3 linked regions of the Stegostoma tigrinum genome follow. The protein of the gene in region 1 interacts with the protein of each later gene in a biochemical or structural test. Links are inferred from orthologs where the notes say so. Each region holds a gene or a part of one and is shown on either strand. Other genes may lie near its edges. The genes, in order: bmpr1ba, gdf5 and bone morphogenetic protein 2-like.

What was found.
Region 2: the proteins of bmpr1ba (region 1) and gdf5 interact in a biophysical measurement, tested with the Homo sapiens proteins (3 studies listed by BioGRID and IntAct, with this or other methods). The link is inferred for Stegostoma tigrinum from reciprocal best matches to the Homo sapiens genes BMPR1B and GDF5.
Region 3: the proteins of bmpr1ba (region 1) and bone morphogenetic protein 2-like form a complex in vitro, tested with the Homo sapiens proteins (3 studies listed by BioGRID and IntAct, with this or other methods). The link is inferred for Stegostoma tigrinum from reciprocal best matches to the Homo sapiens genes BMPR1B and BMP2.

The regions. Positions count from the first base shown.
Region 1 is NC_081354.1:6,788,269-6,796,191, forward strand, and holds the start of bmpr1ba (bone morphogenetic protein receptor type-1B), read right to left. Parts: upstream 3,117-7,923; 5' UTR 3,000-3,116; intron 1-2,999. UniProt on the Homo sapiens protein: On ligand binding, forms a receptor complex consisting of two type II and two type I transmembrane serine/threonine kinases.
Region 2 is NC_081372.1:8,448,181-8,455,754, reverse strand, and holds the start of gdf5 (growth/differentiation factor 5), read left to right. Parts: upstream 1-4,187; 5' UTR 4,188-4,250; intron 4,251-7,574. UniProt on the Homo sapiens protein: Growth factor involved in bone and cartilage formation. During cartilage development regulates differentiation of chondrogenic tissue through two pathways.
Region 3 is NC_081362.1:10,207,973-10,215,685, forward strand, and holds the start of bone morphogenetic protein 2-like, read right to left. Parts: upstream 3,363-7,713; 5' UTR 3,005-3,362; intron 1,176-3,004; exon of another isoform or gene 382-1,175; intron 1-381. UniProt on the Homo sapiens protein: Growth factor of the TGF-beta superfamily that plays essential roles in many developmental processes, including cardiogenesis, neurogenesis, and osteogenesis. Induces cartilage and bone formation.

The sequences.
Region 1 (7,923 bases):
CTTCTATGTACCCAGAACATTAGCCCAAGGCGCTGGATTACATTAAGTGGAGTGACATTATCATAGTGATATCACTTCCGCAACAATCATACTTGTTCACCTCCCTCCAGATTACCACCGGTATCACTCGAATCAATAGCCTTAAGCAAAAATAATAACAATTGAGTTAAATATTTGTTTCCCTCCTGTATTACACACAGTACTGGCAATAGCTCAACTTGAAATTATTTATGGAAATTAAGAGTTGCAATATAAGTACAGAAAGGATGTGATTGAACAGTAAAAGAAAACACATTAAAAAGGATCAGCAACAAGCAGGGGGGTTAGACATCAAGTACAACCCATGGGGAGAATATATGCACATAACAGGAGACTAATGTTTGGAGATTGACTAAATGTGGTATCAGGTCTCATTTTAATCAAAGGCACTCTGATACAATGCAACAATTGACAAACTATGCCAGTATAGATTGCGAAATATCAATTCAGCCTTAGCAATCTTAAATAAATTGACGTTGAGAGTATTAGCAAACAAAAGTTGCTAATGTGCAATTGAAAATAAAATTCATTCTGCACATAGGCCATTTTTCTAAAATAAAGACTCACAAGCAATCATTCAAAATTCTATGTAGGGAAAGCCAGAACATTTTTAATTGAAAAAGAATACTGAATTCTTACCTTCAATACTATCACCTTCCTGTACACATCTAAAACCAGATACAATAGGGGTATTTAAAGGACTTTTAGATAAGTACATGAAATTGTAAGGAATGGAGGGATATGGACCAAGGGCAGGCAGAGGGATTAGTTTAACTTGGCATCATGTTTGGCACAACATCATGGGCTGAAGGGCCCATTCCTGTGCTGTATTGTTCCAGGCTCTGCTCATTTATTGTGGTAATTTCTGATCAATTGTAACTTTTTTTACATGAAAGTAGCATGAACTTTAATTTGTGTGCCTGATTTACCCAGAACACATGGAGCCAGACTATACAGTATTCACAAAGGCAGAAAAGGATAAAAGAAAGTAACTATTGAACAATTAGACTCATATCAATACTAAATAACATACTAGACACTACAATGTGGAATAAGATTAGTGAATATACAAAAGGTGTGACTAACAGAGTTAGTCAACATAGATTGCAAGGAAATGTCAATGTTGATTAATGCTTTGAGCTAAAACAGAATGCAATTGGTACTGCATATTTGTGCATTCCAGAAAAGAATTCCTAAGGTAAAAGACATGTTTTTTCTGTGGAATTTTACATTTCCAATCCAATTATTTGAAGTAATAACTTCTCTAAGCATATCTCTAATACAACGGTAACAAAAGGCCAGAATTCTCTTAATTTTGATACATATAGTATCAGATTTTTATTAAATTAATATTTCACCTTATATATCCCAATACAGCAGTAACAGAGCATTGCCATGTCAGAGTCTTGATTTCAGATGAAGCTAAGCCAAAGCCCTGTCTGTCCTCCCAGATGGATAAAATATCCCACTACACAGGGGGAAAGCAACCCATGGGACCTTTTACAGAGAGCTAAGAAGATGGATGGAATTGGCTGTAGATGGATATCTTTAAAAATACAATCAGGAAATGACTGGTTTTGGTGCATTACCAGGATAAGAAGTGCTAAAAAAAAGACACAATGGCCGTGAATGGTAAATCTCAAGTATTTGTATAATTCCACACAACTCAGTCTTCATCAATCAACAGACGTCCAACGTGTGTCTGCTACACCCAGTTATTTACTATTCTCTTGTAAAAAGAAAATCCAAACAACTGTCACTTTTTTTTGAATAGCTTGTTCCCTGGATACTGTAGACAATAGTTCATTCACAACTTTTTTGTTCTTTTTACTCACTTCCAACTCTAGCACTCTTCTAAAGGATAAGAAACTACCAGCTACAAAAATATTTTAATTATCAATTAACCTGCTAGAGTTTTACTGATTTTGTATCTATTTCCAAGTTGTCTTGGCCTGATAATGTTATTGGTACCATCAGATGTATTGCAGGAAAGACCTGTAGTGGAACCCTAGTACAGTATTGTACATAGGGACATACAGACGACAGTTGAAAGTGGAACTATTGAGGTTTTTGGCTGCTACAATTTCAGTCAACAGAAGCTATTTCAACAAGTGTATTACTTAGTACTGACTTTTGAATTATTACAACAGTATGTCAGACAAAGTTAGACAGTTCCTGTGATGCGTTTTATGAGTTAATGCTATATAAAAAAGTCCATCAATCACATTACACTATTCCCGTATATGAAGTGAAAAAAATTCAATACTTGATTTTCTTCTGACGCAGTTTATATGAATAAGTCATTGATACATTGATAGTGTAGTATGTGGGGTGACAGAAAAAAATTCTTGCACTCCTTTCCAACTGAGCTGTTCCGTCAAGTTGGTTTTTTTTGATATGATGGTTCTGACTAATTTCTCCACTTATTAAGTATCACAGAAATACCAAGCGTGTACAGTCATAAACATTCTCCACTGAAGAAAATGAACAGAGAACGTGATTCACAGACAGGAAGAAAAACTTCCCTCAATACGAATTGAAAACTTCCTACTCAGTGAACTAATCTAGGTGTTCATCTTTAGATCGGATAAAGACAACAAGAGTGAAATCCTTCCTAATGATAATTTGGTCCCAAAGATACGATGTTGTGCAACTTGCCCTAAAAATCTCTGCGTTTTAGCATTCAAACTGAACAGTATTTCGAAATTATAAATTCAAAACCTACTCACAATCCATGAGGTTTAAGATATATTCATACTCTGAATGCATTCCAAACGTCACCACAGTATTACTATCATTGTTAATTTTTGGTAGTATTTTCTTAAAACATCAAATGGATTTTGTGGCAATATTCTCCCGTATAAAATTTGGAAGGAGCGTAGGGAACGAGCGCCTCCTTTTACTTTTAGATATGTTTGTAGGTCTCACATATGCACATTTAAACACACACACACAGGTACCTTCACTGGAAACTCCAGCACTCTCCTTTTGCCCTTCTTCAATCCCAGGCAATGATCTTTCGCCGCTGCTGATTGCTTCTTTCTTGCTTTGCTCCCACTTCACACGGGAACACTAGAAGTTGCTTGCACTGATGGGTTAAAACCAACCCCCCCTCCCTCCCTTCCTCCACCTCCCCCACTTTTGACTCTCACTCCTTCGGCGCGTCTCCGATGACTGACAGACGAGACTCGGGCTCCAGGCTCTCAGCAGCAGCAAGACGTCGGCAATCTCCGGCACCACGGGGCTTCGGCAATCTCCGGAGGCAATTCGCTCCCGGGGCTTCTCGTTTCAACACTCACGCTTCGGCAATCTCCGGCAATGGGGCTGAATTGGACCCTTGTCAATGTGACTCCCCTTCAAATAACAGCCTTTTCCACATTGTTTTGGTGAAACTCAACTGCTATCTTTGGAGACACAATGATTTAAAAAGGAACTGATAAGAGTGACTGTAATGTTTAACTTGTAACTTTGTTCTTTATTTGTTTCTACTTTGTCCTAAGGTTTTTGTGCCTAGGTACTTATAACTAAAATGATGCAGTGTTTGCCAACATTGAAAATGTTTCACTATACTCCTATACATGTACACATGACGATAAAGTCTAAATCTAAAGATAATATGCTCAAATAAAGAAAAGGAGCAAAGGTAGATGTATATGAAAGCTAGCAGGTCACATCAAAGTAAACAGGCTAAAGGCCAAATGCTGGAAAATAAGATTAGAATAGATTGAAATTTGATGATAGATGCAGACATGATGGGCCAAAGGACCTCTTTTTGTGCTGTTGAACACAATTGATTGATGACTATAAAGTGGACTGCTGCAGTTTAAGAAGGCCGCTTGCCCCCATCTTCTCGAGGGCACCTGGGATGAACAATAAATGTTGGCCAGCCAGTGACACCCACAGCCCTTGAATGAATGAGAAAAATAACAACAGGGAGATTGTTATAAATAAAAACAGAAATCACTGGTGAAACTCAACACGTCTGGCAGCATCTGTGGTGAGAAAGCAGAGTTAATCTCTTGAACCCGATGACTCTTCATCAGAACTCAAGAGTCCACTGATGTTGACTCCATGTCCTCACCATAGTGTTCAATTGGTTAAGTTAAAATTCAGAACGCTCATTGTGCAGAGTCACCAGGGCTGGTTAGTAATCTACCAGTTTTAAACTCAGCTTCCTTCTCCCTACTCCTGCCATCATTCCTCGCCAAATTCACACGAGAAAGCAGAACCATAGGAACCTTTATTTCAAAACTCTGCTCTATTTTGTTGTTTGCTGTCTCTCCAACCATTATATTTCCCAGATCCTAATATCAAACACTTGGTGACTTATTCCAGCCTCTCACTTGGAAGATCAATCAATTTTCTTTGATTTCCTTTCCTCCCTGTTCTCTACAAGGCTGATATAATATTAACTGGTACAGGTGATGATCAGGATAAGGACAAGAACTGATCAGACTGGAATGACCAAACATTATATAAAGCCTTTTTTTCAGGAGAGATGGTAGCATAGTCTCTGAATCAGAGATCCAGTCTAAACCTTGAGGTAACAAAGAGTGAAGCTGGATGAACACAGCAGGCCAAGCAGCATGTCAGGAGCACAAAAGCTGACGTTTCGGGCCTAGACCCTTCATCAGAGAGAGGGATGGGGTGAGGGTTCTGGAATAAATAGGGAGAGAGGGGGAGGCGGACCGAAGATGGATAGAGGAGAAGATAGGTGGAGAGGAGAGTATAGGTGGGGAGGTGGGGAGGTGAGTAGGTGATAGGTCAGTCCGTGGAGGACGGACAGTTCAAGGAGGCAGGATGAGGTTAGTAGGTGGGAAATGGAGGTGCGGCTTGAGGTGGGAGGAGGGGATAGGTGAGAGGAAGAACAGGTTAGGGAGGTGGGGATGAGCTGGGCTGGTTTTGGGATGCAGTGGGGGGAGGGGACAAGCCTCTCCACCTATCTTCTCCTCTATCCATCTTCTGTCCGCCTCCCCCTCTCTCCCTATTTATTCCAGAACCCTCTCCCCATCCCCCTCTCTGATGAAGGGTCTAGGCATGAAACGGCAGCTTTTGTGCTCTTGAGATGCTGCTTGGCCTGCTGTGTTCATCCAGCTTCACACTTTGTTATCTTGGATTCTCCAGCATCAGCAGTTCCCATTATCGCTAAACTTTGAGGTACATGGGTTCAAATCCCACCACGGCAGCTGTGGCATTTAAAATTCAATTTTTTTTATTCATTCACAGGATAAGGGCATCTCTGACTAGGCCAGTATGTATTGGCCATCCCTAATTGCCCAGAGGGCAGTTAAGAGTCAACCACATTGCTCTGGGTCTGGAGTCACACATAGTCCAAAAACAGGAGTAGTTGGAACATCTCAGCAGGTCTGGCGGCATCTATGAAGAAAAATCAGAGTTAATGTTTCAGGTCTGGTGACCCTTTCTCAGAACCTTCTGATATTTTCTCACAGATGCTGCCAGACCTGCCGAGCTTTTCTAGCAACTTCTGTTTTTGGTCTTGATATACAGCATCCGCAGTTCTTTCAGTTTTCACATGTAGGTCAGGCCAGGTCAGGATGGCAGTTTCCTTCATGAAAGGACATCAGTGAACCAGATGGGGTTCTCCTGACAATGGATTCATGGTCATCATTAGACTTTTGATTCCAGATTTTCTTTTTTAATTGAAGTCACATTCCACCATCTCCTGTGGCAGGATTTCCTTCTGGGTTCCCAGAACATTGCCTGCATCTCTTGGTCAATAATCCAGCAATAATCCAATAGACAACTGAGCCATTGCCTCCCTGATAATCTGACTTGTTGTTAGTTTCAGTCATGGCAACCATGAAACTAACACTGATTGCTATAAAAATAAAAACAACAAATTCCTTAATGTTCTTGAGGGAAAAGAAATCTGCCATCCTTACCTGGCCTGGCCTACAGTTGATTCCAGTAATGTGGTTGACTCTTAACTGCCCTCTGAAATGATCTAAAAAGCCAGTCCATTCATGGGGAAATGGATACAGTACAAATACTGGAGTTGCAAATGACACCTACATCCCATGAAAGAAAGTCAAACAAGTTGTTCAGTTTAAAGGGTGGTTGTGGATGAGCAATAAACACCGGCCTTGCCCATGTCCCAGTAAGGAATAAAAACTGCTCAGATGTAATTTGAGGTGCCTTATAGTTAACTTATAAATCTCTGAATATATTCAACTTCAGTGTTTCCTAAATTACTCTACAGTGTTCGTTTGCTCATTCACCATAGTGCAATTAGCACATTGTCCAGGCTGATACTTCCCAGTGCAGTGCTGAAGGAATTCTGCCTTTCGGATGCGATACGAAACGGAGGCCTCTCAGATGATCACGAAAGAATCCCATGGCTGCATTTAAAGTGGTTGATAAATGCTCTACCTGATGTTCTGGGCCAATAATTATCTCTCAGTCAATTCCAGAAAAAACAGATGGATTGTTCGTGATCACATTACTGCTTGTGGGAGCTTTATGTCACAAATGGGCTGCTGTGTTTGCTACATCATCACTGCGACGACACTTAAAACATGTTTGGTTGCTGTAAAACACACTTGGATGTCCTGAGGCTTGAAAAAATTTACGTTAATATTCTCTGAACCCTCTCAAAGACCTAGTCATTCCTAAAGGGTGATATCCAGAATGGGCTGCTACACTCCAGATGAAACTCATTCAGTCGTTTTTGACAGTTTCGCTGAATTTCCATCCTTTCACACACTGTACTTCTAATTATAAAGCCAAGGATTGTGGCTGTCATTTTAAACAGGATGCTCAACTCACCTCAAGAAGTCATTTGGGAATCAAAACGTCAATTCTGTTTCTCTCTCCACAGATTCTGCAAGACCTGCTGAGTTTCTCTAGTATTTATTGTTTTTATATCAGATTTTAGCATCCACATTATTTTGTTTTATTCTCAACTCTTCCTGCCTCGTTTAAAGGCCTGTACAGACAACAATGCCTGAGACTATGATGCTCTATCATTGAGCCCCTACAGTGTCAAAACAGCCCATTCGGCCCACCATGTCCACACCACCCCTCCGAAGAGTGTCCCACCCAGACCCAATCCCCTACCCCTACATTTGTTATGTCTAACCCACCTTATCTACACAACTCTGAAAACTACGGGCCATTTAGCATGGCCAATCCACCCAGCCTGCACATCTTTGGACTGTGGGAGGAAACCGGAGCACCCGGAGGAAACCCACGCAGACACGGGGAGAATGTGCAAACTCTACACAGACAGTCTGAAGCTATACAAGATAAAGTCCTTCAACACCGGTAGGCATCTCCTCACATCAGAGTGTTTAGTTTGCCATTTGGGAGGAGAAAAGGGCCTCCTGCCTCTTACCACCTTCCATCCACCATCCATCGATTTCAGGAATGTGACAGATGTAACTATTTTCATGAACAAAGATAAAGTATTTCCCTGATGCCCAAAGCAGGGATAATCCTCACACTTGGCATTCTCCTGAGTTTCCTACTCCCTGTGGCTGGCAAAGCTATGCCAGAGACATAGAGCGACTTCTAGAGGAACCACTAACATGGTTTTTGTGACCAAATTGATGATGAATATCAAGCACAACAACAGGAGCTTGTCACTGCCTCCATTCACCAGGATAAAACATTTGGTTCAGTAAATCAAGAGGCTCTGTGGATTATTCGCATACAGTTGGGAGTCCAAGAAACTTCATCGGAATCCTGAAGCCGATATGATGATATGACTGATGTGGAGGTGTCGGCGATAGACTGGGGTGGACAAGGTCAGAAATCACATGACACCAGGTTATAGTTCAACAGGTTTATTTGAAAACACAAGTTTTTGGAGTCTTACTCCTTCTTTAGGTGTTAGAGAGAGATGGTATCAGAAACAGAATTTGT
Region 2 (7,574 bases), on another chromosome or scaffold:
CACACTTTGTTATCTTGGATTCTACAGCATCTGCAGTTCCCATTATCATTGATATGGAAAGGACTGGGTGCTCGATGTTGAAGATAAGTGGCATTCAAGAATACAAAGCTAAATAAAGATGGAGAGGTGGTAGTGTTAATTAAGACTTGCATTGGTGTAATTATCAGAGAGGACCTTATTTCAGGAAGTCAGGATATAGAATCAGTTCAGTTGGAGATGAGGGATATTGCGGAAAAGAGTCACGAGTCGGAGTGGCCCAGGTCTCTTCACAATGATCATGATGTAATATACAAGAAGGAACACTGTGTTCTTGTGATGCAGTTTCACTGAGAATCACAGGAGGTTTTAATATACATAATACACCAGAAAAAAATCAGTGTGGCCATCTGGGATTTACAGGTTGCTTTTGGAGAATTGAACCACATTTGCAATGGATCACCGTGGATCTTAACAGGCGATAGTAGTGTGCAGTGTCAGCAGGCTGGTAACCAAGCCCTCAAGCCTGCAGAGACATGTGTGCAACCAACCAAGCGATAGTAAGAATTGCCAATGCTAGACTCAGAGATAACACAGAGTGGAGCTGATGAACACAGCAGCCCAGGCAGCATCAGAGGAGCAGGAAAGCTAACGTTTTGGGTCAGAACTCTTTTTGAAGCTGAAGAAGGGTCCTGACCCAAAATGTCAACTTTCCTGCTCCTGTGAAGTTGCCTGGCCTGCTGTGTTCATACAGCTCTACACTGTGCAATTAACTAAGCCTCATTAGCTGTGAGACCTGTGATCAAATTTTACTGACCCTTGCTTTGACAATTAACAATTCATATCACTCAGTAGTAATTGGGTGCTGGTCATCACTTGCTCAACTGATTGACTGGCTCACAACTTCAACTAAAATTTCATTTTGACTTGAGTGCTTTCTGTTTTCTCAATTGCCAGCACTATGCTTATACCTTGGCTACATTCTGGTTCTAGAAAAGGTCTTTAACCAGTGAGAGCACAACAAAAACAGTCTGAACTTGAGTTCGGGGTGTCCCCAGACAGCAGCAACGGACAATGCCCTCAGTATCCTTGTCAATCCTGACAGGAGATCTAAATAAGAAAAACAAACTGGAACAGGACACTGCCACCTACACACTCCACATTCAGGCCCCATTCCAGAGGCTTGAGTACAGAATCTAGCTGAAACTTTAATGTGGTACTGAGGGCATGCTGTACGTTTGGCTGGTGTAGCTTAATGCTACACCAAACTCATAACTAAGGCATCAGTTGTAAAAAATAGGTCAGCATTGGCCAAAGAAGTGATGGGGAGTTCTTCCTGGTGCCCTGACCAATATTTAATCCTCCAACAGTTTCGCAGAAACAGAAAATCAGGTCATCATCATAGAGTAATACAGCATGGAAACAGACCCTTCGGTCCAAACACTCCAAGGCTGTCAGTAATTCCAAACCAAACTAGCCCCAGCTGCCTGTGCCTGGCCCATATCCCTCCAAACATTTCTTATTCATGCAATTGTAACTCAAACCCCTCATTCCCATCAGCATCCTGGTAAATCTCTTCTGAACCCTCTCCAGTTTATTAATGTCCTTCCCACAAGTGGGCAGCCAGAACTGGACACAATATTCCAGAAGAGGCCTCACCAACATCCTGTACAACCTGAACGTGACATCCCATCTCCTGTACTCAAATGTCTGAACGATGAATGCAAGTGTGCTAAATTTCTTCTTAACCATCCTGTCTGTATGCAAAGCAAAGTTCAAAGAATTATGTACCTGAGCCCCCAAGGTCTCTGTTCTACACAACGCTCTACTTTTAGTTGTATAAGCCCTGTCCTTGTTTGTCTCACCAAAATGCAAAACCTTACATTTATCCAAATTAAACTCCACCTGCCACTCCATAACCCGCCGACCCAATTGATCAAGATCTCTTTGTACTCGTAGATAACGCTCTTCCCTGTCTACTGAACCCCCAATTTTGGTGTCATCCACAAATTTAATGAGTATGCCTCCTTACATTCTGATCTAAATCATTTATATAAATGATTACTTGATTGTCTGTGGGAGCCTTCTGTGAGCAAATTGGCTGCTGTGTTTTCTACATTATGTTACGCTACCGTGAAATAATCTATTAGCCGTAACGACGTCTGAGATGTTCAGAGGCTCGGAAAAGTGCTATTGAAATGCAAACCCTTTTCTTTCTGTAGAATAGACTGTTAGACAGAGAGAGGGTGTATGATGATCTGGGATAAAATGTTCAACAGAAGGTCTAAGGGTGACATTAAACGTTATACAAGCAAATATCTGCAGATGCTGGAAATTTGAAAGTAAAATATCAAATGCAGAAACATTTGGCAGCAATCTGGCAGCAATGGTGGAGAGAGAAGCAAGAATAATGTGACAGGCTGGGTGTATTTAAATGGTCATTGGATAAACATATGGATGATAATGGGATAGTGTAGGTTAGATGGGCTTCAGATTGGTTTCACAGGGCGGCACAACATTGAGGGCCGAAGGGCCTGTGCTGCACCGTAATGTTCTATGTTCCATATCTACTGGAGTTGAGAAGAATGAGAAATGATCTAATTGAAAACATATAAGGCCCTGAGGGGACTTGACAGGGTGAATACTGAGAGGATCAGAAACAGAAACAAAAAAATTCTGGGGAAACTCAGCAAGTCAGGAGCATCCATGGGCAGAAATCAGAGTTAATGTTTCAGGTCCATTTCCTCAGAATGGTTCTGTTTTTCTGCTTTCTCTCTACAGATGCTGCCAGACCAGCTTGGTTTTCCCAACCATTTCTGTTACTGATTTCCAGCATCTGCAGTTCTTTTGCTGTTTTTGTTTGATATTGAGAGGAGGATTCCCCCTTGTGATGTAGACTAGAACCAAGGACCCTCCAAGTTAAGAGGGAGATGAGGAGGAATTTGTTACCTCAGAGTCATCAGTCTTTGGAACTCTTCCACAGAGGTAGTTAAAGGGAGTGATTGAATATTTTTAAAGAAAGATTTAGATAAATTCTTGATATTAAGGGATTCTAAGGATGTGGGAGTAGGAGTTAAGGGTGGGGGTGAAGTCAGTTGGAAGAGAAATCAGTGTCAATGTCACAAACAGAATAACCATGATTCTATCAAATGCAAGAGTAGGCTTGAGGGGCTGAATGGTCTCCTCTGAATTTGTATATTGCTATACAAAGTAACCATAGGCCCAGAGGGCTTCTTATTAGAGAGAGAGAAGGAGAGGTCTGGTGCTCATTTAATCTGAGGGTCACCATGTGTCAGGGTGAGGGAGGAGGTGGAGAAGGAGAGTCCTTCATGGTAACCTCAAGCTCTGTAGGAATTGAACCCATGCTTTTGTTTCTATTGCAAATCAGCCTTCCAACTAACTGAGCTCAGCCGCAGGTCTGCAACCTTACACCAGAATTGAGAAATCGTAAGAATCACCAAATCATAAAAGATCAAGGTCCATGTTGTTCACAGTCTGCCTTCCTGGTGTGCACAGATTGCATGTTAGTGGTCTAATTGGAAAGAGTACAGAAGACGTTTACAAGAATTGTTCCAGAGATGAGAGACTCAGTGATGACGAAAGTTTGGATGGGTTGGGGCTGTTTCCCTCGGAGAGTTGAAACTGAGTTGCCAAAATAGGGGTGATGCAGTGGCTCAATGGTTAACACTGCTGCTTCACAGCACCAGGGACCCGGGTTCAATCCCACACTTGGGTGACTCTCTGTGTGAAGTTTGCCTGTTCTCCCCTCGTCAGCATGGATTTCCACCCAAAATCCAAAGATATACAGGGTAGATGGCTTGGCCATGGGAAATGCAGAGTAACAGGGAGGGGTAGGTCTGGGTGGGATGCTCATTTGAGGCTTGGTGAAGACACGATGGGCCAAATAGCCTGCTTCCACGCATTATATTCTATGATTCTAATGATGCTCATTTGGAGAACTAGTGGATGGGCTGTGTAGCCCCCTTGTGCACCATAGCATATCAGTGAATCTGTGACCCACAAACCTGTGATGGGGATGTGAGAGGGTGAATGTTACCAACTGAGCCTGGTTAGCACTGACTGCTGAGTCACTGGGGTGCGAGCACTAACTATTCACACTCGTCGATCAAACTTATCTTGCAAATAAACAAAATAATTCATTTGAATATGATGTAGTGGCAACTCACTTTATACACAAATACTAACACGCACAGTCTCAGGCCACTCACATACAGGAGGTCACTGCATTGAGACTTGACTATATTCTATCCCAGGTAAGAAAGAGGTTAATAATTGAATGCTTCAAACAGTAATTTCTATGATACACAAGGGAAATATTTAGCTCATCCCGAAATTCCAGCTTATTTGCTTGAAATGTTCCAGCAACCTTTAATTGTGTAAACGTGTTTTCCAATAAATGACTCAGATTGTGCTCCATCAGGTGAGAGCAGGGTAGGGTTTGGATATTCAGAGTAGTAGTGGTTAACTTTTTGTTTCAGCTTCTACCTGTCAGCAGTGTGCTAGACTTCCACAAGAGTTTCTTTTTCTAAATCCAAAAGTGAATTTCCGCTTTTTTAGTTTGATTCTTTGCTTTTTTCCCCCCTTTGTGTGTGTGTGTGTGTGTGTGTGTGTGTGTGTGTGTGTGTGTGTGTGTCTGTGTGTGTCTGTGTGTGTGTGTGTGTGTGTGTGTGTGTGTGTGTGTGTCTGACAGAGTGAAGTTTCACCACCTCAACATTTCTCAGGGTGACATTTTGAACTGAAAGGAAAAGTTCTGATAGGTCATGCTGCAAATACATTACAAAAGTTCAGTAAATGTTTCTGAAAGTTGCAGCAAAGCAAGTTGAGAGAGATGGGGGAGGATTGAGGCACAGAATAAGAGGGAGGAAGTGAGGCAGAGATAGGCATAGACAGAGAGAAGTTGGGGCATGCAGGAGAGGGGAAATGAGAAAGGGGGTGAGGGGGAGAGTGAGAACAGAGGGGTGAGGGTGAGAGTGGGAATGGCGATAAAGTGGAGGGGAGCTGGAGGAGGGAAAGGAGAGAGGGTAGAGGAGAAGGGGAGGAGAGACGGGGCATGAGTAAGTAGTGCAAAAGACAGAAGGGATGGGTGGGAGAAAATGGAATTGGTGAGAGTGAAAGGGATGGAGAAGGCAGAGTGTGGTGGAGATGGGAAAGATGGAGTTTAATTTAGATAAATGTGAGGTATTGCATTTGGTAAGACAAACTGGCAGGACTTACACAGTTAATGGCAGGGCAGTGTAGAGTGTTGTCAAACTGAGGGACCTAGAGGTGCAGGTCCATAGTTCCTTAAAAGTGGCATCACCAGGGAAACAGGGTGGTGAAGAACATATTTAGCACGCTTGTCTTCATTGGTCACAACATTTGACTGTCATTGGGACATCATGTTACAGCTGTACATGACATTGGTAAGGCCACATTTGGAGTACTGTGTACAATTAGATCACCCTGCTATTGGAAGGATGTTATTAAGCTGGAAAGAGTATGAAAAGATTTACAAGGATGTTACTGAGACTTGGAGGGTTTGAGTTATAAGGAAAGGATCGACAGTCTGGGACCTTTCTCCCTGGAACATAGGCAGCTGAAGTGCAACCTTATAGAGGTATATAAAATCATGACGGGCATAGATAAGGTGAATAGTCAAAGTCTTTTTCCCAGGGTAGGGGAGTCCAAAACTAGAGGGCACAGGTTTAAGGAGAGCGGGGAAAGATTTCAAAGGGACTTGAGGGGCAATCTTGTCACGCTGAGGCTGGTGTGTGCATGGACTGAACTGCCAGAGGAAGTGGTGGAGGTTGGTACAATTATAACATTTAGTAAACATTTGGACAGGTATATGAAAGATAATAAAATGTGAGGCTGGATGAACACAGCAGGCCAAGCAGCATCTCAGGAGCTCAAAAGCTGACGTTTCGGGCCTAGACCCTTCATCAGAGAGGGGGATGGGGAGAGGGAACTGGAATAAATAGGGAGAGAGGGGGAGGCGGACCGAAGATGGAGAGTAAAGAAGATAGGTGGGGAGGTAGGGAGGGGATAGGTCAGTCCAGGGAAGACGGACAGGTCAAGGAGGTGGGATGAGGTTAGTAGGTAGCTGGGGGTGCGGCTTGGGGTGGGAGGAAGGGATGGGTGAGAGGAAGAACCGGTTAGGGAGGCAGAGACAGGTTGGACTGGTTTTGGGATGCAGTGGGTGGGGGGGAAGAGCTGGGCTGGTTGTGTGGTGCAGTCGGGGGAGAGGACGAACTAGGCTGGTTTAGGGATGCAGTAGGGGAAGGGGAGATTTTGAAACTGGTGAAGTCCACATTGATACCATATGGCTGCAGGGTTCCCAGGCGGAATATGAGTTGCTGTTCCTGCAACCTTCGGGTGGCATCATTGTGGCAGTGCAGGAGGCCCATGATGGACATGTCATCTAGAGAATGGGAGGGGGAGTGGAAATGGTTTGCGACTGGGAGGTGCAGTTGTTTGTTGCGAACTGAGCGGAGGTGTTCTGCAAAGCTGTCCCCAAGCCTCAGCTTGGTTTCCCCAATGTAGAGGAAGCCGCACTGGGTACAGTGGATGCAGTATACCACATTGGCAGATGTGCAGGTGAACCTCTGCTTAATGTGGAATGTCATCTTGGGGCCTGGGATAGGGGTGAGGGAGGAGGTGTGGGGACAAGTGTAGCATTTCCTGCGGTTGCAGGGGAAGGTGCCGGGTGTGGTGGGGTTGGAGGGCAGTGTGGAGCGAACAAGGGAGTCACGGAGAGAGTGGTCTCTCCGGAAAGCAGACAAGGGAGGGGATGGAAAAATGTCTTGGGTGGTGGGGTCGGATTGTAAATGGCGGAAGTGTCGGAGGATGATGCGTTGTATCCGGAGGTTGGTAGGGTGGTGTGTGAGAACGAGGGGGATCCTCTTAGGGCGGCTGTGGCGGGGGCGGGGTGTGAGGGATGTGTTGCGGGAAATACGGGAGACGCGATCAAGGGCGTTCTCGATAACTGTGGGGGGAAAGTTGCGGTCCTTAAAGAACTTGGACATCTGGGATGTGCGGGAGTGGAATGTCTTATCGTGGGAGCAGATGCAGCGGAGGCGGAGGAATTGGGAATAGGGGATGGAATTTTTGCAGGAGGGTGGGTGGGAGGAGGTGTATTCTAGGTAGCTGTGGGAGTCGGTGTGCTTGAAATGGACATCAGTTACAAGCTGGTTGCCTGAGATGGAGACTGAGAGGTCCAGGAAGGTGAGGGATGTGCTGGAGATGGCCCAGGTGAACTGAAGGTTGGGGTGGAAGGTGTTGGTGAAGTGGATGAACTGTTCGAGCTCCTCTGGGGAGCAAGAGGCGGCGCCGATACCGTCATCAATGTACCGGAGGAAGAGGTGGGGTTTGGGGCCTGTGTAGGTGCGGAAGAGGGACTGTTCCACATAACCTACAGAGAGAACGCCCTTGACCGCGTCTCCCGTATTTCCCGCAACACATCCCTCACACCCCGCCCCCGCCACAACTGCCCTAAGAGGATCCCCCTCGTTCTCACACACCGCCCTTCCAACCTCCGGATACAACGCATCATCCTCCGACACTTCCGCCATCTACAATCCGACCCCACCACCCAAGAC
Region 3 (7,713 bases), on another chromosome or scaffold:
GAAGCAGACTATTTTAAAAAAAGATCTAACTTTAATTCTGAATGAGTCAGCAACCAAGAAGTGGAATGACATAATTTTCTTAGGAGGAATACTAAGGAATTAAATAAAGCAAGGGAGACCAAAAGAAAGTGCACACACACGTGTGTGTGGGAGAGAGAGCCGTCTTGTTTATGTTTGTCTGAGCTGTTGTATCTGTCTGGAGTGGGACACATCAGATAGTTGAGGGGAGTGGTGGGGGTTGTCTGGATGGACAGCAGACGTATACAGGTGCTCTGTCTCTTTCCTGAGTCCTGGGTTAGGCTGTAGCAGAATGCATGCACTCACTCACACACACACACACACACACACACACACACACACTTGCTCCTGTGCCCGCGTTACCTTTCCCTTGAACAGGCGCCCCGCTCAGAGAAAGCAGCGGTCCATTCAAACGCGGGCAGCTCCGACTCGGTCCGCGGGCGCTGCCGCCCTTCGCTAGCCCCGTCCCCGGTTCACTCTGGTCCCCCCCTCCCGCAAATCGAGGCGCCGGAGCATCTGGTTTTGAGAGGCGGGAGAGGAAAAGTTCAGGCGATTATTTGTCTCTTCACCGCGGCTGCTTTTTTTTTGTTACATCCAGAAAAAAGGGAGGGAGGGTTGTTGGTAGGAAGGAGGTGAGTTCGGTTCCCTCTCTGACCCTCGTCTCGGTTTATCCCTTCTGAGTCTAGCACCGCCGCGGGACTCCGCCGAGCTATTCCCGTCCAGGGACCAGGAATCGAACCAGTTCCTCTCTGCTCTTCCCTGTGCCCCGCATTTGCTCGCTGCTTATTCCACACTTTCGCTCTCTTCCTCCCTTGCCCGGGTGTTGGGAAGCTCTCCAGAGGGCAGTGCAGCCCTTCACGCCCATCAACAGCAGGCGAAGAGGGGGTCAGAACATTGCTTTCAGATCTCTGTGTCGAAAATACACCCGAAAACGGCGACGGAGTCCAAGCAAATCGTCCGGTTCACTCACAAAGCCCCGGGCAATGAGCGCTATAGGAAAGTCCATCATTTCTTAACACAGTGGCCCATATATATTTATATATACATATATACAGTCACACACAACAAACACACAATCTAGAGTGAGTGAAGGGTTTCATATATATACATATATATATATATATATATTCAGTAAGGTTTTTGTTTAAAACGCTGATTCCCGCTTCTGCTGCATAAGTAATTGAAAGCGGCTTTATATATATACGATCTGCTTGCCGGCTGATGTCACGTCAATGACGCTTGATGCCAATCAAATGCGATAATTGATTCCTGTCACAATCTCGACATTGAGATCAGAGCAAGAGTTTGAATCTTTGACTTGGGTTGGGGGTGGAATAGCACAAAACATTTCTCTGCCAAGAGGATTAACGCCGGGGCAGCAGATTGGACGTTGCGTGATTTTATGTTTTATTTTTTGGTGTGTGTGTGTGTGTGTGTGTGTATGGGTGGGTGGGTGGGTGGGGGAGGCTTGGTGGGATAGAGAAATGGCAACTCAGCGCAGCAAAATATAAATGCCATTTTTTTTGTTAGCCACACGCGCCTCTTTAAAATATCCTTTCACACATACATAGACACCATCGCAGCCCCCACCCCACCCAACGCCCTCCAGACTGGCCCAGTCCAGCGCGCTTTCTGACCCCGGTGTTTATCCAAACCAAATCTACCGATCAATGGGGTCGGTCATTCGAAAGGCCAGATCCCGTTGATAACATAGTTGGGTTCTGCTTGTGAGGGGTGGGGGTTTGGGGCGGGAGAAGTCATCGCAATTAATTGAATTCTGAACTGTCCATTCCGCGCTCCCCTCCCCACAAATAAAAAGATCCGAGGAACACTTCTTAAGGCGATCCAGAATTCAGAAGCCTCTCTGCAGTACGTGTGAGGTTTATTTACTCTTGTTCATGCCGAGATATCATCTCGGCGCTCACAGCAATGGGATTGGGAACTCACGCTGGGACAGACACGGCTGGGCTCTCAGAAATCCACACGTTATAGGAGGTTCCATTCATCCCCAGAGGGTTGGGGGGGGGGGGAGTGGTGAGGGAGGGGTGGGGGTGGGGTGTCGGGAAATTGAGAACGGTGCGCTTTCCCCTCGGTGACAGGACCAAAGTCTGAGAGTTTAGCTCAGACTTCTATTCTTCGGCTGTTTTGTTCTGGTTTGGTTCCCTCAGTGAGGATTTCAAGAAGAGAGGTCACTCAGGGATGCAATGTTGGAAAAGCACTTGCCACTCGCTTTGGGATGTCTTGCCTCCCCCAACACCCCCTGAACGAAACAAGATTTTGGGTCTGATATATGTTCGACAAAGAGAGAGAGAGAGAGAGCCCAGAGCGCCAACTCCTGGTCAACACAGCAAAAGGCCAGAGGGTTGAATTTCCAGCTTGCTTTTACAACGGCTTCTTTGTACAACTCTCTCGGAACGCGAGAGAGAGAGAGAGAGAGAGAGAAGTAAAATCATCCTGAAACTCGGCTCAGCACAGATCGGAATCAGCTCCCTCCTCCCCCTCACAACACTCACCTCCCCCCACCCCCGTGACTTCCCTCCCCTCCGACACACACACGCAACAACCACTTCAATTTACAACTTTAAACCATCAATATATCGAAAACAAAAGTTTTAAAAACAATACAGACCGTACAGGTGTGACGCCGTGCACAGTGGGAAGAGGCAGTCTAAGATCAAGATAAAGTGAAAGAGAGAGAGAAGGAAATTTAAAACCGGCGGCAGAACATGTGTATGACAAGAGAGAATGTAGTAACGATTCTGGGACATGGCTGTGTATTAGGGATGAAAAGATGTGTGTGCTGTATGAAAAATAAAATCAAGTAAAAACAAAGGATGTACTAGGGACGAAATAAAGGTTAAGAGTAATTGTAAGTTTATCAAATAAATCTTGCACCCTCTAATCAAAAGCAGCAATTGGCTCGCTGCAGTTGAACGACTCAAATGACCAAATGAGTGAAATTTCAGATCTTCCCACTCCCCTTTACCTGATGGAGAATGTTGCATTAGACCACGCTGCTGCACCCCAAAACCCGGCTGCTCCTGTCAGCGGGATTTGATGAAAAAGTGCCGAACGGGAAGGAAAGGCGAATCATTTCACTGAGTGAGCAATCCCGGAGAGACCAGAAGTTAATCTTTGCATGTGTGAAACGAAACGCGAGATGAGGCTCCGGGCGCCCGATTTAAAGCATCTCGCAGCAAGTCAGTTCTTCCGAGTGAATGACTTCACAGTCGCTCATGTGAGGGCTCTCTCTCACTCACTCACTCTCTCTCTCTCACTCTTCTCTCTCTCTCACTCACTCACTCACTCCCCTTTAGTGATTCGGCATTGTGGCTGGCATTGGGAATGTTTACAGATATGAAGTGACTCATTCATTTCAGAGACGATCTTCATCTAACGTCATTACATCACAGTGGATTTTTGTATTTTTTTTAGAAAAACAAGGTTCTGTTTAAGAGTGTAAACAGGTTGACTGATGCTGTGTCTGTGACACAGAGAACTTCCTACATACTGTCATAGAGTTTCTCCGTCAGACAGAAAGAGAGAACTGTTGCTTTAAACAAAACTGCTCTCCTCAGCTCCCATTATCACTGCACTCCTCAGCTCCCATTATCACCGCACTCCTCAGACATCCGAGTGGGGTAAGGGGTATATGCATTTACCGCCAGCTATCAGAATTTTCAACAAGGTCCAGTTCACAAACGTCGGGACAAATATGTAAAACCCCACCGAGAGATTGAAATCGCTGTGTGACAGCGAAACCACAATACGCACGTAAAATCCTTAACACACATGGCAATCCTCAATGCACACACCAAATTCATAACATACACACTAATCCATAATACCGATGGCAGGCGGACTGATGTTATGGGTTACACACAACCACAAATGGCTGGAGAAGCTCAAGCAGGTCCGGCAGGGACAGTCAGAACTGCAGATCCTGGAGTCAGAGATAACGCAGTGTGGAGCTGGAGACACGCAGCAGGCCGGGCAGCATCAGAGGAGCAGGAACACTGACGTCTTGTGTCGGGACCCTTCTTCAGCATCTCTGGAGAGAGAAAGTTGAGTTAACGTTTCAAGTCTGGTGACCCTTGTTCAGACCTGCTGAGTTTCTCCAACAAATTCCGCTGTGTGTATTTCCCGATTTTTGTTTTATTTCTGACGTTGTGAATACCCGGTCGTTTTATAATTCAGTCAACATTCGTCAACACATACGTACGTGTGCATTAGACATCTCCCGGGAGCGCCCAGAGAGAACATGCATTGGGATTAATAGAGCTATTTATTAGTCTTATTTATAGCCCTGTTAATTCATACCTCACCTCTGTGCACCGTGACAGATCCAAAAGATCCCAATTCAGCCGTAACATCCAATTGCGCCCCTTCTCCACCACCCACCCCCCCCCCAGCACCCCACCATCTGATCTATCTCATTCCAGACACGGGTACAACATACATGTGTTCTGATTCCCCCTCTCTCCTTGTCCGCTTTAGTTTAAATGCCTCATTTCTCTATTTTGTCTCCTCTTCCTTACGTGCTTTCTAAGTTGTCCTGTTGATTTTTTTTGCTTAGAAAGCTGGCTGGAGAAACTGCCCCTTATTCTTAACCCGAATTTTCATCAATCTCCCCAGAACGCTTTACAAGCCTTTGTTGAGTTCCGCTCTCAGTTTCTGTTTTAAATATCCCGGACAACTTGCCCGCCGCCACTGCTTGTTCATTGAGTGGGTAGAGAGTGGAATCTCCTTGGAGAAGACGGAGAGACAGAAAGGACAGTCTAAAATCCACACTGCAGACGCTGGAAACCTAAGATATACACAAACACAAAAACTGCCTAGCAGGTCAGACAGTAGCCGCGGAGAGAGAAACTGTCAACGTTTCAGGTCTGGGAGCTTTCAGGAAAAGGGATCTAAGGAGTGATCTGATACATCCAGCATCTGCAGTTCCCATTATATCTGATACATCCAGATCTGCTGCAAGTTTGCAACATTTGTGCATCAGACGCTGATTGAATGGGCAAACGCGCCCTCCTCTGCTCCCCAGCGGTTCTGGTCACGAAGCCAGTCCCAGGTACCTTGCAAAGAGAAAGGAGTGAAGCACCGGACCAAGGTTTAAAACAGAAAGAAAAAAGACCACGCGCGGTCAAAGTGGTTTTCATATCTAGCCGGATGTGCGTGTGCCCTTTCAGAAAGACCATTTAAGGGACGTTAACGTTGTCTGAGAAGTGTTAACGTTCTCGAGAGCAGGCTGACTGGTTGTCACTTTTTGTTTGAACACACCGAGATTATATTGTGGTCTTGTATAAGTGAGATGAATTGGAATTATCAGAAACCCTCCGAAAATTCCATGAGTTTATGTGGACGGAGAGATATTTTTGCTGCCTACATTGAATCCTGAAACTCAAGTTGGGTTTTTAAAATTGGACCCAGTTAGAAAATCAAACTCAGCCTTTTCCCAGAAATTCTCTTCATTGATCTTGGTCTTTGGAATGGGACATATTTTGCTGCTATCTTCCTACAAAAATTTTCCTTGATAGGTTGGTCAATAGCAGTAATGCGTTATCTATGGTACTTCACCTTGCATCCTTTAGGGGTGTGTATTAGATGGTGTGCCCAGGAATGGGAAGTGATTCACCTTCCCGATTGTTCTCCAGTGCATAAAGCAGGATTATAACAACATAACTCAGAGATAGCAAGAACTGCCAATGCTGGTGTCAGTGTGGAGCTGGAGGAACACAGCAGGCCATGGTGTGTATATGTTCAGTAGCAAGGTTTAAGTTATGAAGAATTGCTGGATAAGTTGGGACCTTTTTCACTGGAGCTTGGGAGGTTGAGAGGCAACTTGAAGACAATTTCTAAATTAGAAGGGTATAGGTGGAGTTCATAGCAGTTGTCTTTTCCCTGGCATGTGGGATTTTAAAACTAGGAGGACACACTTTTAACGTGGGAGGAAAGAAATTTGGAAAAGATGTGAGGACAATTTTTTTTACACAGACGGTGGTTCCTGTGCGGAATGAACTTCCTGTGGAAGTAGATATGACTGCAATTGCAACGTTTAAAAGACATTTGGATTACGTACATGAATAGGAAAGGTTTGGAGGGATATGGGCCAAATGCAGGCAGGTGGGACTAGTTTAGTTTGGAATTATGTTAGGCATGGAGTAGTTGGACATAAAGTTCTGTTTCCGTACTATATGTCTCTATAACTGGGTGCCCCTCACCACCCAACAACAATGCTGTGTATTTACATAACACTTTGCGCACAGTAAATCATCATGAGATGCTTCTGGAAAGCATAAGCAGATCAAAACAGACACACCACACCAAAGAAGGGGACATTCTGACTGAGAACCAACAGATTCACAAAAAATCAGTTAGTTTCACAAAGGAAAGAAGAGGTAAGGAGGTTGAGAGAGGGAATTCTAGAACATAAGGTGAAAGTCACTGTCGTCAACAATGAGTAATGGAAGGAAAAGATGAAGAGGACGGCAGATTCTTCAGAGACTTTCCAGATTGGAGGAGGCTACAGAGATAATGAGGCTTCGAACAATGATCAGGCACTGCAATAATGTCCTCCATCATCATTAATCCTATATACTCATTGCCTAAGCAAATGTGTGATATATGTGCCCTTGGAAAAGGCATTGGTGAGCATCATAGGCCAGAATACATTGGTTTCTCCAAGCAGGAAGCGAAACTTCCTCCATCATAACACTCCCCTACATCTGATTGAGTTGATGCTACTTTCCCCACACTGGGTATTTGCAGCTTCTTACTCTCTTTGTGATGGTTGGAGCTAGGGAACAAGATCTTGCCTGTCCACTTCTTGAAGCTGCAACAGCTGCTGTTGCTCGGTGTTTTTGCCAAATGCTAGAGGTAAAGTCTAAATTTGACAACAAATCACAACCCTAAATGCTGACAGCTAAGAGGCTGCTTATCTAGGATCAACACAGCAAATTTTAATCAAAATTATTATGGTGCAGATTACTTTTATTGTTGCTTTGAACTGTTCCACTGATCTCAGTCACAGATCGAGCTGATAATGCAAGTTGCAGGAGGTGAGATTCAATCCAGCCAGAACACAGAAGCAGCTTTATTAGTCTGTAAATTGCATTTTCCGGATATTATCCATTTAGATCACCACTTCAACTCAATTGCTTTGGAGAAATTTGACAACAGCAATTTATTTTTTGGAGATTTACTGGTAACCATGTAAAAATGAAAGCAAATCTCTAATTAAAATGATATTTTATATTACTTATGAAGAACTAAGTTTGATTTGCAAACAGCTACTTAGTGTACAACCCTTCCAGGCCTCAGTAAAGTACAATTAGCTGTATGTGAGGTTATAGGATTATGCAGGATACAGGGTATCCTTAATCTGGTCTAAAGATGATTTTTGAAATTTAAGCCCATTAGGCAACAATGCTGTACTGTAGCACACGGTTTGAAAATGCTTCAACAACACTTTCAATAATCAATAGACTTAAATTCAGAATTCAAGTTTACAATGAAACTATGCAGCCTAATATTTTTATTTTAGTACAAATTAAAACAAAAGAACCTTGAAACAAAGTTTAACACGGGATATTTATTGGGACAAAAAGAAATTTAAACCTCTTGGGTGTATCATGCTGAAAGAATATATGATCAAATTCAAAGCCACTTTAATACGAAAGCGTCTCACCTTTGGCT